Saccharomyces cerevisiae S288C: one gene and its partners. The gene in region 3 interacts genetically with the main gene of each other region. Each region holds a gene or a part of one and is shown on either strand. Other genes may lie near its edges.

Evidence for each region.
Region 1: mutations in YML119W (region 3) and PPT1 together harm fitness more than expected from each alone (negative genetic interaction), as found in Saccharomyces cerevisiae (one large-scale study listed by BioGRID).
Region 2: mutations in YML119W (region 3) and ECM23 together harm fitness more than expected from each alone (negative genetic interaction), as found in Saccharomyces cerevisiae (one large-scale study listed by BioGRID).

What each region holds. Positions count from the first base shown.
Region 1 is NC_001139.9:736,352-740,112, forward strand, and holds PPT1 (protein serine/threonine phosphatase), read right to left. Parts: upstream 1,853-3,761; coding exon 311-1,852; downstream 1-310. Other genes in the region: ASN2 (asparagine synthase (glutamine-hydrolyzing) 2), read left to right, coding at 3,593-3,761. UniProt on the Saccharomyces cerevisiae protein: Protein phosphatase that specifically binds to and dephosphorylates the molecular chaperone Hsp90 (HSC82 and HSP82). Dephosphorylation positively regulates the Hsp90 chaperone machinery.
Region 2 is NC_001148.4:509,101-512,325, reverse strand, and holds ECM23 (Ecm23p), read right to left. Parts: upstream 1,226-3,225; coding exon 662-1,225; downstream 1-661. Other genes in the region: SUMO protease ULP1, read left to right, coding at 1-13; ssDNA endodeoxyribonuclease RAD1, read right to left, coding at 2,327-3,225. UniProt on the Saccharomyces cerevisiae protein: Involved in morphogenesis. May be involved in cell wall organization and biogenesis.
Region 3 is NC_001145.3:28,934-32,233, reverse strand, and holds YML119W (uncharacterized protein), read right to left. Parts: upstream 1,624-3,300; coding exon 550-1,623; downstream 1-549. Other genes in the region: NADH-ubiquinone reductase (H(+)-translocating) NDI1, read left to right, coding at 2,427-3,300.

The DNA of each region.
Region 1 (3,761 bases), on a different chromosome or scaffold from region 3:
TAATGGCAACGCGTCTGACTTCTAATCAGAAGATTATGGGTTCGACCCCCATCGTGAGTGTTGTTTTTTTAAATAATTTCCTGGCTGAAGGGAATAATGTTGTTCAACAACGAAGATATTTCTTATTTTTCTAAGAGGTATTATGATATGATACATGACAATAAACATTATGAAATTTTTTGTGAAAGATGTATAAATTTATAAAAAAAAAAAAAAAGTTACTTCCTCCACTTCGTTAGCTCATATTAGTTTCTTTTATTCCCAGACTTTCTGCTTTTGATAATAATCTAGCAAAATAGAAAAGGCATGACTATAAACCAAAACCACCATTAGAATAGGCCATTGGTTTTATATCTGGGTGCTCAACAGCTTCGAATGTCTCAATTATTAGATTTTGGTCGTCATTCCTGCCAGCCTGTAAAATACCATGGCCTGGTACAACATGAATAACACCCCCAAGATTACCTTGGCTATCACAATAGTTTGGAGCACTGAAAACTGTCATTAATTTACCCTTCTGCTCGAATTGCACACCACCCATTCTTAACTCGTGAGATCTAAAAATCTTGCGCAATTTGTTGTTTCTTAGAAATCTATCTGTAATGTCGGGTCCAAAAGCATGTCCTAAACCACGCTGAGAAGGACCCATCCCGTTGGCTTCTTGTGGGTCCGCCCATAGAAGTTCCATAAAGGCGCCATCTCTAGGTGGTTGGGCAAATCTATCAATATTCTTGAAATCAGACAAAGTTGCTGAAGGATCACTTGGTAAACCACCATGCATTACAAGGTAATCATTATTAATTAAGGTAGCCAATGGAAGGCTCTCAAAACTTTGTGCAAACATGTTAAATATCCTTTGTGAATATTTGTATTTACACTCATCTTCAAACCCATAGATTTTGTTCATATTATCACTCTCATGATTACCTCTGTTCAAAAAGAAATTATTTGGATGTAATATTTTCAAACAGTAGAATAATAGTGCAACTTCACACGACCAAGAACCACGGTCGACAAAATCACCATTGAATAGATAAGTGTGCTTAGGACCTACTTTACCAAACTTGCGAAATAAATTCAAAACATCATAAAATTGGCCATGCGTATCACCACATACTGATATCTTAACATCAGGAGTAGAGTTATTTTCTAGTTCTACCATAGATGGCTCTTGACGAAATAAGGTATCAGCATGAGAGATAATAGCTGCAACGTACTTTTTTGGTAAATATTTTCCCTTTAGGAAAAGATCGTTAACCATTTTGGAAATAAACTCTTGAGACATGTTCTTGATCTTTGCACCTTTAAAGGCATTCTTATCGTCATACAGCTGTTCAAATTCTAACTTTGGACCTTCATAATTGGCTAAATCTGCATTAGCATCAAATGAACTCAAGTTCAAAGTCTGACACAAACTGATCTTGGCTTCATTTTCTGCGCCTCCGATAGCTTTCCTAAATCTTTCTTCTCTAATGAACCTATCACATGTAAGTAACGCCTTAGTAGCAGCCGGATCATTGGGCTTCGCCTTTAGAAGCACATTCAAATCTTTCCTAGCCTTTTTAAATTCTAGCAGAGCCATGCAGGATAATGCACGTCTATGATAAGCTTTGATATTTTTGGGATCCAGTTTAATGGCTTCATCACAGTCATTTAAAGCGCTTTGAAAGTTATCTACCTTAAAGTGAGCAAATGCTCTGTTCGAAAAATAGATAGACTGTGTAGAATCTAAATCGATCGCCTCTGTATATTTTTCAATGGCCTTTAAAAAATGTTTTTCCTTCACAAAAACATTTCCTTCGTTCTTTCTTTCAAGTGCCTTCGCGCGATCTGCTGCTGTGGGTGTTGACATATTCGAGATATTTGATTATACCAAGGCAAGCGTTATTTCTTGCCTCTAAAATTGTTAAAGTTCTGTGTCAAGCTCTATAAGCTGTTTTCGCCAATTTTCTTACCTCATCTGTGAAATTTTTCAGTTTCCCGCCGTCGTTTTTTTCCCTGGTTTAGCGTTTTAACGGAAAAAGAAATACATACATACAATGATTGAAAAAATATTTTCATAAAGAAGAAAATGAGAAGGAACTTTTGAGGACTAGAAGTGTTCCTGATAATTGTCTCAGCCAGAATTTTCAGTGGCCAAGGTACGAACAAGAAACTGCTAAAAGGAAAAAAAATACTCAGAATAACAGAAGATGACAGACAGTATTGTGGAACCCCAACAATTATCTCAAAATTTACCTATTTCTTAAGTATAAACAGTACACTGCATCAGTGGTATTAGATTTGTCATGGTGTAAAATTTTATGATAAAAAAATACAACATGGCGGGCGTAAAATAAAATACATATTCGTAATCCTGGAATATTACGCCAACTACAACCAATAACTTATGATTATATTACCAGAATATTATCATGTATGGCTCTCAAAATATGACATAAATGGTTTCTATTAAAAGCATCATCAATTCAATGAAGCTGAAATTTCAAGGATTGGTGATGTAATAGAACAATGAGCGGCGATATCATAGAACGAAAAAAGAAGTAATCGTCATTTTTTGTAGCACTCTTATTTCCTTTTTTAGAGTTCTAATCCTCAAGGTGAAACCGTAACATATGCATATACTTAACGATACCGCCTTCTTTGAAAATTAGAAGCCTTATATCTATTTCGAACGCACATATGTTGTCATACACAATGCGACACATGAAAATACTACTCTTTACACCTGTATTATCAAACTATTAATCAGTGACTTCCGAAAAAAATAGGTCTCTTGGCCCAGTTGGTTAAGGCACCGTGCTAATAACGCGGGGATCAGCGGTTCGATCCCGCTAGAGACCATTTACTTTTTAGAATGCAAATATAAGATCCCGATAAATCATAGAACCACCACTTACTTATTCACTTATGTGGTCCTTCCTGCTGTGGGCAGAGAGCGATTTGCACGTACAAAGCGATCAAATTACGAACAAAACAATACATAAGAGGTTTGGACACGTTCTTAAGGCTAACTCCACATTGCGATAACAAGATTAAAGTGAGCTCCTGCTCATTCCTAATTGGAACTCATCATGCCTCCCATCAAGGTGGAGCCTGGATTTTACTAAAGAAACCGTTCGAACGGCTCTGTATTTACTAAGAGGGGGATATATCAAATCGTGGAAAACATGAGAGAACAGTCTCGTTGCGTGCAACAGCCGCTATCCTGCTGCTCTCTGCATAACTGGACCTTGCGTATTGGGTTCATTCTTTTGGCTTTGTGAAACGATTCACAAAGCCATACGTCCGTAGTATGGACCCTGCAGGAATGGTCTACATTTTCTATCTACTAGTAAAGCTTTATTCACATATGGGTGCCGCACGGCGCGGGTTTTTGCAAATTTTCTTAGCATTGACTCATGGCAAGATTTCTCCAGAAAATCAGTAAAGCCTCATCCAGCCTCTCTTCTTGAAAAAATTATGACTTTGAATCGCATATTTCAAAGATTTGCCACTTGCTTAGTTTCATTTATTCTAATTTAACTTTTATACTATTTTTTTTGCTTCCCAGTTAAGCTCACCAAAACACAAATACTCACTACAATACAATATGTGTGGTATCTTTGCAGCCTTCAAGCATGAAGATATTCACAACTTCAAACCAAAAGCTCTACAACTATCTAAAAAAATCAGACACCGTGGCCCAGATTGGTCAGGAAATGCCGTTATGAATTCCACCATTTTCGTTCACGAGAGGTTGGCTATTGTTGGTTTAGACT
Region 2 (3,225 bases), on a different chromosome or scaffold from region 3:
CGCTTTAAAATAGTTATTCTTTTATAATATACAATTATTATACATAAGTAGAAATATTCAGATCATTGGATATGGAATAAAGTTCAATAAACCACTTGAAAATAAATCATAAGAATAGCATAAGCACCAGCTCAATTTAGATGTCTGTACAAAAAGTAATATATTTTAGAGATGAGCAGGCAGAACCACACATTAGTGACGATTGTCTTCGACCTTATGTGGAATCTTAAGCTTTAACATATAAGTAAAAATTTTTATTTTCAACAAAAGATTAGAACGAAATGAAATTCCTTAATTGAACCTTCTCTTGGATATCAATCTATTGGCAATCATTCCTAGAGAATATATTATTGAGTGAAAACTGTAGATACGTGCTAAGCGGTAAAGCCCTTATGAACATCGTCACACTATCTCTATATTGAGCCTCCGTAAATTTCGAATCATTTGAAATTCATTTTTCCTGGTAGGAAGATACTTGATAGTGGAGGATAAGTAAAGTAAATTGTGGTTATCATTTATTTGGTGGTAAAGTACCTTTTTTATGTTTTTTTTGAAGATGGAAATTCAGGCATTTTAAAAAAATAGAAAGCTCGAAATATCTCAAAAAACATAAAAATAGAGGAAGAATCCGCTGAATATACCATCTTTACAAACTACTTAACTATTTATTTTTAAATATAAAATTTTTAGTACCATCATCGGAGGATTGTTGCGATCGTATTTTTTTCTCCATTTTTTTCCTATATGCTATGCCACATCGACTACATAGCTCAACATTTCCATTAGGTCCACTTCTCCACTGAGAAGTCCAGGTGTCACCACAAGTGGCGCACTCTTTTGGTTGACCGTTGGGGAGTATAGTTTGTTTCTTCCTACTTTTAGGTCTATATCCTGCTAAAGATTTCTTTCCATTGGATGATATTGGTAGTGATGAAAAAGATGGGGCTGGTAGAATAGAGGGGTTATGCAAAGGCCCACCAAGACGACTTTCTTCCTTCAATTTTGGACTCAGCGCACTATTTAAGCTTTTGATCTTCTGTTCAAGAATATCTGCTCTTTTTAAATCTGGCGTGACACCAGATTTCGGGATACTGGCTACTGAACAGCAATAATTGGGATTAGCGGCAATGAACAGAACCATTTGTACAAAACGATCGAAGTGGAATTTCGTTCTACGACCAGAGCTACTAGCGCCGCTTGTTCCCTGCTCTTTGTTATATAACATAATATGATTTAAAAGTTCTATCACTCAGCACTACAACGCAGTATTTTTATTCTAGATGACCAGTATAGCAAATATTGTTACCCTTGAGATATTGGTAATTTAACCAAATCTCAAGTCATAAATGCCTCCCTTTTAAGTTTACATAGGCAGTGGACAGATTGGTACATCATATTAAAGGAAATAATGAACGCTAAAAAGAATGCCTTTTACTGACACATTCACTTTTAATACGAAAACGGATTTTGTGGTATATGACGTTGAGCACTGCGTGGTTTTCTGTGAATCCGCCGTGCCTAAAATGGACCCTTAATTATTTAACAATAGACCGGCCCGAATAATGTTAACATGAAGGGAAAAGTGCACATAACTGCAAACTACTTTGGTAGGTTGATTATCAGAGCTAAGCCATCCTACAGGTAATGATTTCCAAATTTTTTCTTAAGTAAAAAAGTTCAGAAAATAGAAGAAATATAAAATTTAAAAGGAATTACTGTTTACGAGACACATCGTTCATTCTTGGATAAATATACAAATCTACTTAAGAAAAAGCTTTCCTTATTTGTTGTTTCCTACTTTGTACCATTTGGTTTATTATATATCGTTGTGGAAAAGAAACTTGGTCTCTTGAATCTTAGTCGCAAAAGAAAATTTTTACCCACATAGGTAATGGAAAAGAGACAAAATTATTTCTGGACCTTATTCAAGAGGATGAATTTGAAGCATTTATTAATAATGAATATGATTGTGCGCTTCTAAGAAAAACTCACGGGTAATTTGGCTTAAAATGATTCACTAATGCCACGCTCAGATTCCACCAAATACGGTTAAAAAATCAAAAATAAATGAACTTCATTTGGTCATTTTTACTGCTAAAAAGTGGAAGATGAATTGCGGATGATATGAAAAATTTGAGTGAATAAACTATGAACGCGAAAAAAAGAATATATATGCGGAATAAAATATCAAAGTAAAAGATTCAAAGAGCATGTCTAACTTATAACATATACGGTCGAAGTCACCAAATGAATATTGTTATTTTCACTATAGTTAATCGCATTTTATACTGATGTTTTAACAGGGTTCGTTAAATTAAACAATATTTTACACAGGTGCTTCAGGAACATCATTATGATGATCATGTAAAGCGTTATCATCAGTGGTCTTACCAGGAGATTCAAGATTTTCATCTGTTGACTCTTGTTCTTGTTCTTCTTTTTCTGTTCTCAAGAAGTAGTATATTCTATCCGTCAAATCTTCGTCATTAATAAGTTCATTAATCTCATTCCATGAAAGCTTTTGAAGCTTATTGAAGCTCTTGATCTTTTTGCGGAGATTGAAATAATCAATTTTTGACACTCCAGGAACATTCAACAGTCTCTTGAATTTAGACTCGTTATCACCATCCTTCAGGCCCTTTGCAGTGCTATTAAAATCCGATCTAACTTTATTCGTTCCCAATATAACTGCATTACTAGGGTCAGGTTGCTCACGTCCTAATTTCAACTCTAGGATTATATTTACAGTTTGCAGGGGTGAGGAAGACCATATAATCTTTAAAGTGGGAAACCGCAATACTAATTTGGCTAGTTTTAGCTGAATTTCATCCTGGGATAACTTGCTTGATATAGGATGAACAGTTGATATGTCTTTATTCTTATAATTTCTACGTTCACTAAAAGGTTCTAAAGAAAACGACTGTCCTTCATCAAACTCAATCAATAGTGTCGGATATGCATAGTATTTTAACATTTTTTTACATTGGTTGGCTAATCTGTTATTCTGTAATGACCCAATTAAGTCAGAAATCGATTTTCTTTCGAGACAAATATCAGGAGTTATCACATAATCGCCGACTGTCAACATACAAGGAATAACCCTTATGCCATATCGGTAGAGTAAGCCTGGTAATGAGGCATTAAACTCACGTGTATCCACAATGACGACATCCTGAGTAAGATTATGGAATCCCTGCTGCCCACCCGCATTTCTGGTATTAGATT
Region 3 (3,300 bases):
TCAACCATGTGTTAGTTTGGTATAACTATTGTGATTGAATATTGGTATTATAGGTCATCCTTTTTTTCTGTGCAACGAAGGGGTGGCTGAGCATTTTATATATAATGTCGGGAGAGGAATGCAGGACTTTTAACATATCAAATGAATAGTATCTGAGTTGTTCACATATTTGGTACGTATATTATTTATTATTCTGCAACTTGTTTACTGCATGATAATATTGAAATAAAGTGAAGAGAAGACGGCACAGAGAAATTACAATGGCGCAAACGTAAGGCAAAAATGGCACAACGAATTCTGAATTCGATTGCTGGATCACTTTTCAAAGATATTGTGTTCGGTTGTGACAAAGGCATCATTAAAATAATTATATGTCTTTTGTCATAAATTTAGATCGTTAATAGGCTTTTTTTTGTATTTTTAATTCACATGTTAAATGTTTCGTTTTGGCAACTAATAATAAACTACATTAAGTAAAATGCAAAACTTCAAAGTGCGGAAAAATGTATTGGTATATAAATACTATAGACAGAATACAGAGAATCCGTATCATTTCAAAGGTTCATTACTTAGTATCTCCGCAGGGAGGATTCTGTTGTTCGCACTTCTCTGCTGAAAGCTATCCTCCTCCTCATCTTCCTCATCTTCATCTGAAATGGCGATGCTAAAAGAATCTACCATTCGAAATATATCAGATCTATCCATTGCCTTTCCATCAAAACTCAATTCAAAGCTTTCGTTGGCATTTGTGGAAACACTGGCCCCGGCTCTCTGCTTCGCATTGGAATTAGGGAGATTCTTTACGGGCTTGCTGTTACCTTGCAGCTGCTTTTGTTGCCGTAACGTTGATGTCAGCTGCACTCCGCATAATTCGTCTAGTGATTTTGAGATCCGTGTCTTACTATTTGTGGACAATTGAATAGGTTGCAAGAAGTGATAGTTTTTCTCAAACTTCAACGAAATTAGCAGGATTATGATTTTTTTGGATATATCGTCTATCGTTTCGTGCACTGGAGATGGTAATTTATATGTGGTAACGACGGACCTAGGTAAGATGCACTTCTTGATGTTGAAATTTGTTTTTGATTTCGTGGGAGAATTCGTCAACTTAGGTGCCACACTAGTGCTACTTCTTGTACCATACAAATCAATTGGCTTGGTAAAATACCGTTTCTTTGTACACGTTCTGGAAGGAAAAATAATTTCATTTATGCTGCTCACTTCCTTCGTTTGATTGAATTTAAGAGATTTAGAATTTAAATGCGACACCGACTGATGATGCGGATGGGAATTTACATTGGTGTTTGCAGCGCCCATGGTATTTGTATATCTAGATGGCCTGTTATTATTACTGCTACCGCCCCCGGTATAATGGTCTTCATTAACTCCTTTATTAACCTGCGAAATACTGTTAAACCTTGGTCTCAGGTTTTTTGTGGGTGACTCTGGATAATAGAAAAACTGCTGGTTGGAATCGAAAGTCGCTTTTTGTTGGAAGCTCAGGACTGGCTGCTGATTCAAATTAAACTGCGTAGGAGGCAGGACCAGCCCACCGCTGTTATTGATGTAAGATGATTTGTTATTGAGCGTCCTTCTTGGCGACACTGATGGACTTGGGCTCATTGCTACCTACTTTTTTTCTTACTGACCTAAGGCTGCAGGTGCAAGAAAAGAGTAAAAGAATGTTAAAATACGTTTTGAAAGGTCTCTGTTTTCATGTACAATTGAGGGATAAAAAAATCTTTTCTTTCTTTCAATGCGGATGATTGACACTTTCTTATTTTGTGTTTTTATTTATGTTCTTTCCTAATCTGGAAAGCATATTAAAGACCGGCGCTACCCGGTTAAGTAATCATACACGTGAAAAGCACGTGAACAACAAAGCACTTTAAAACTCATATACTACGCATTTAAAGAATGCTAAAACGGCAATTGCCACTGGGCACCATTTAAAAGGTCAATAATGAATCTGTGACCTTTCTTTGCTATAGCATCACTACAACTATGTGTTGCTTGTCGCTAGCAACGAACCTATTATTCCTTCGCTTTATTGTCGAAGACCACAAAATACTCCAAAGCAATAGAATGTCTCTTTCCGCAAATAACTTACTCAGGGAAACAATACGAATATGTGCAGATTGCCGATCATTGCTGAAATGCCTCAAAAATATGCATTTTCTCATGACCTATTCATTCGGACCAATCATATGAAGGCATTGAACGTCCGGGTAACCACAATAAGAGTGCTCCCCCTTAGCGCTCTTGGTTATTGCCGGTATTTGCAACGTCGACAGGGTATATATAAGATGTATAGGGCATAGTGGGGAAGGAGTTTTAACTACCAATTGAGGAGTTTCAGGTAGGGTGTCAGTTTCATCACATCATCGAATTACACGTTTACCCAAGAGAAGAAACTAAAAACCACTATGCTATCGAAGAATTTGTATAGTAACAAGAGGTTGCTCACCTCGACGAATACGCTAGTCAGATTCGCTTCCACCAGATCCACAGGGGTGGAAAACTCCGGAGCAGGTCCTACATCTTTTAAGACCATGAAAGTCATTGACCCTCAGCACAGCGACAAACCAAACGTGCTGATACTGGGTTCGGGGTGGGGAGCTATTTCGTTTTTAAAGCACATTGACACCAAGAAGTACAACGTTTCCATCATCTCTCCTAGAAGCTATTTCTTATTTACGCCTTTGTTACCTTCTGCACCAGTTGGGACAGTAGACGAAAAGTCAATTATTGAGCCCATCGTTAATTTTGCTCTCAAGAAAAAGGGGAACGTTACCTACTATGAGGCAGAAGCCACCTCTATCAATCCCGACAGGAATACCGTTACCATAAAATCATTATCTGCCGTTAGCCAGCTATACCAACCTGAAAACCATCTAGGGCTGCATCAAGCAGAACCTGCTGAAATTAAGTACGATTATTTAATCAGTGCTGTAGGTGCGGAACCTAACACATTTGGTATTCCTGGGGTCACTGATTACGGTCATTTCCTGAAGGAAATTCCCAACTCTTTGGAAATAAGAAGAACTTTTGCCGCCAATCTAGAGAAGGCTAACTTATTGCCAAAGGGTGATCCCGAAAGAAGAAGACTACTGTCCATTGTCGTGGTTGGTGGTGGGCCTACTGGTGTAGAGGCCGCTGGTGAACTACAGGATTATGTTCACCAGGACCTGAGAAAGTTTCTCCCTGCATTGGCCGAAGAAGTCCAAATTCACTTGGTCGAAGCTCTGCCCATCGTTTTGAATATGTTTGAGAAAAAGCTTTCATCATACGCGCAATCAC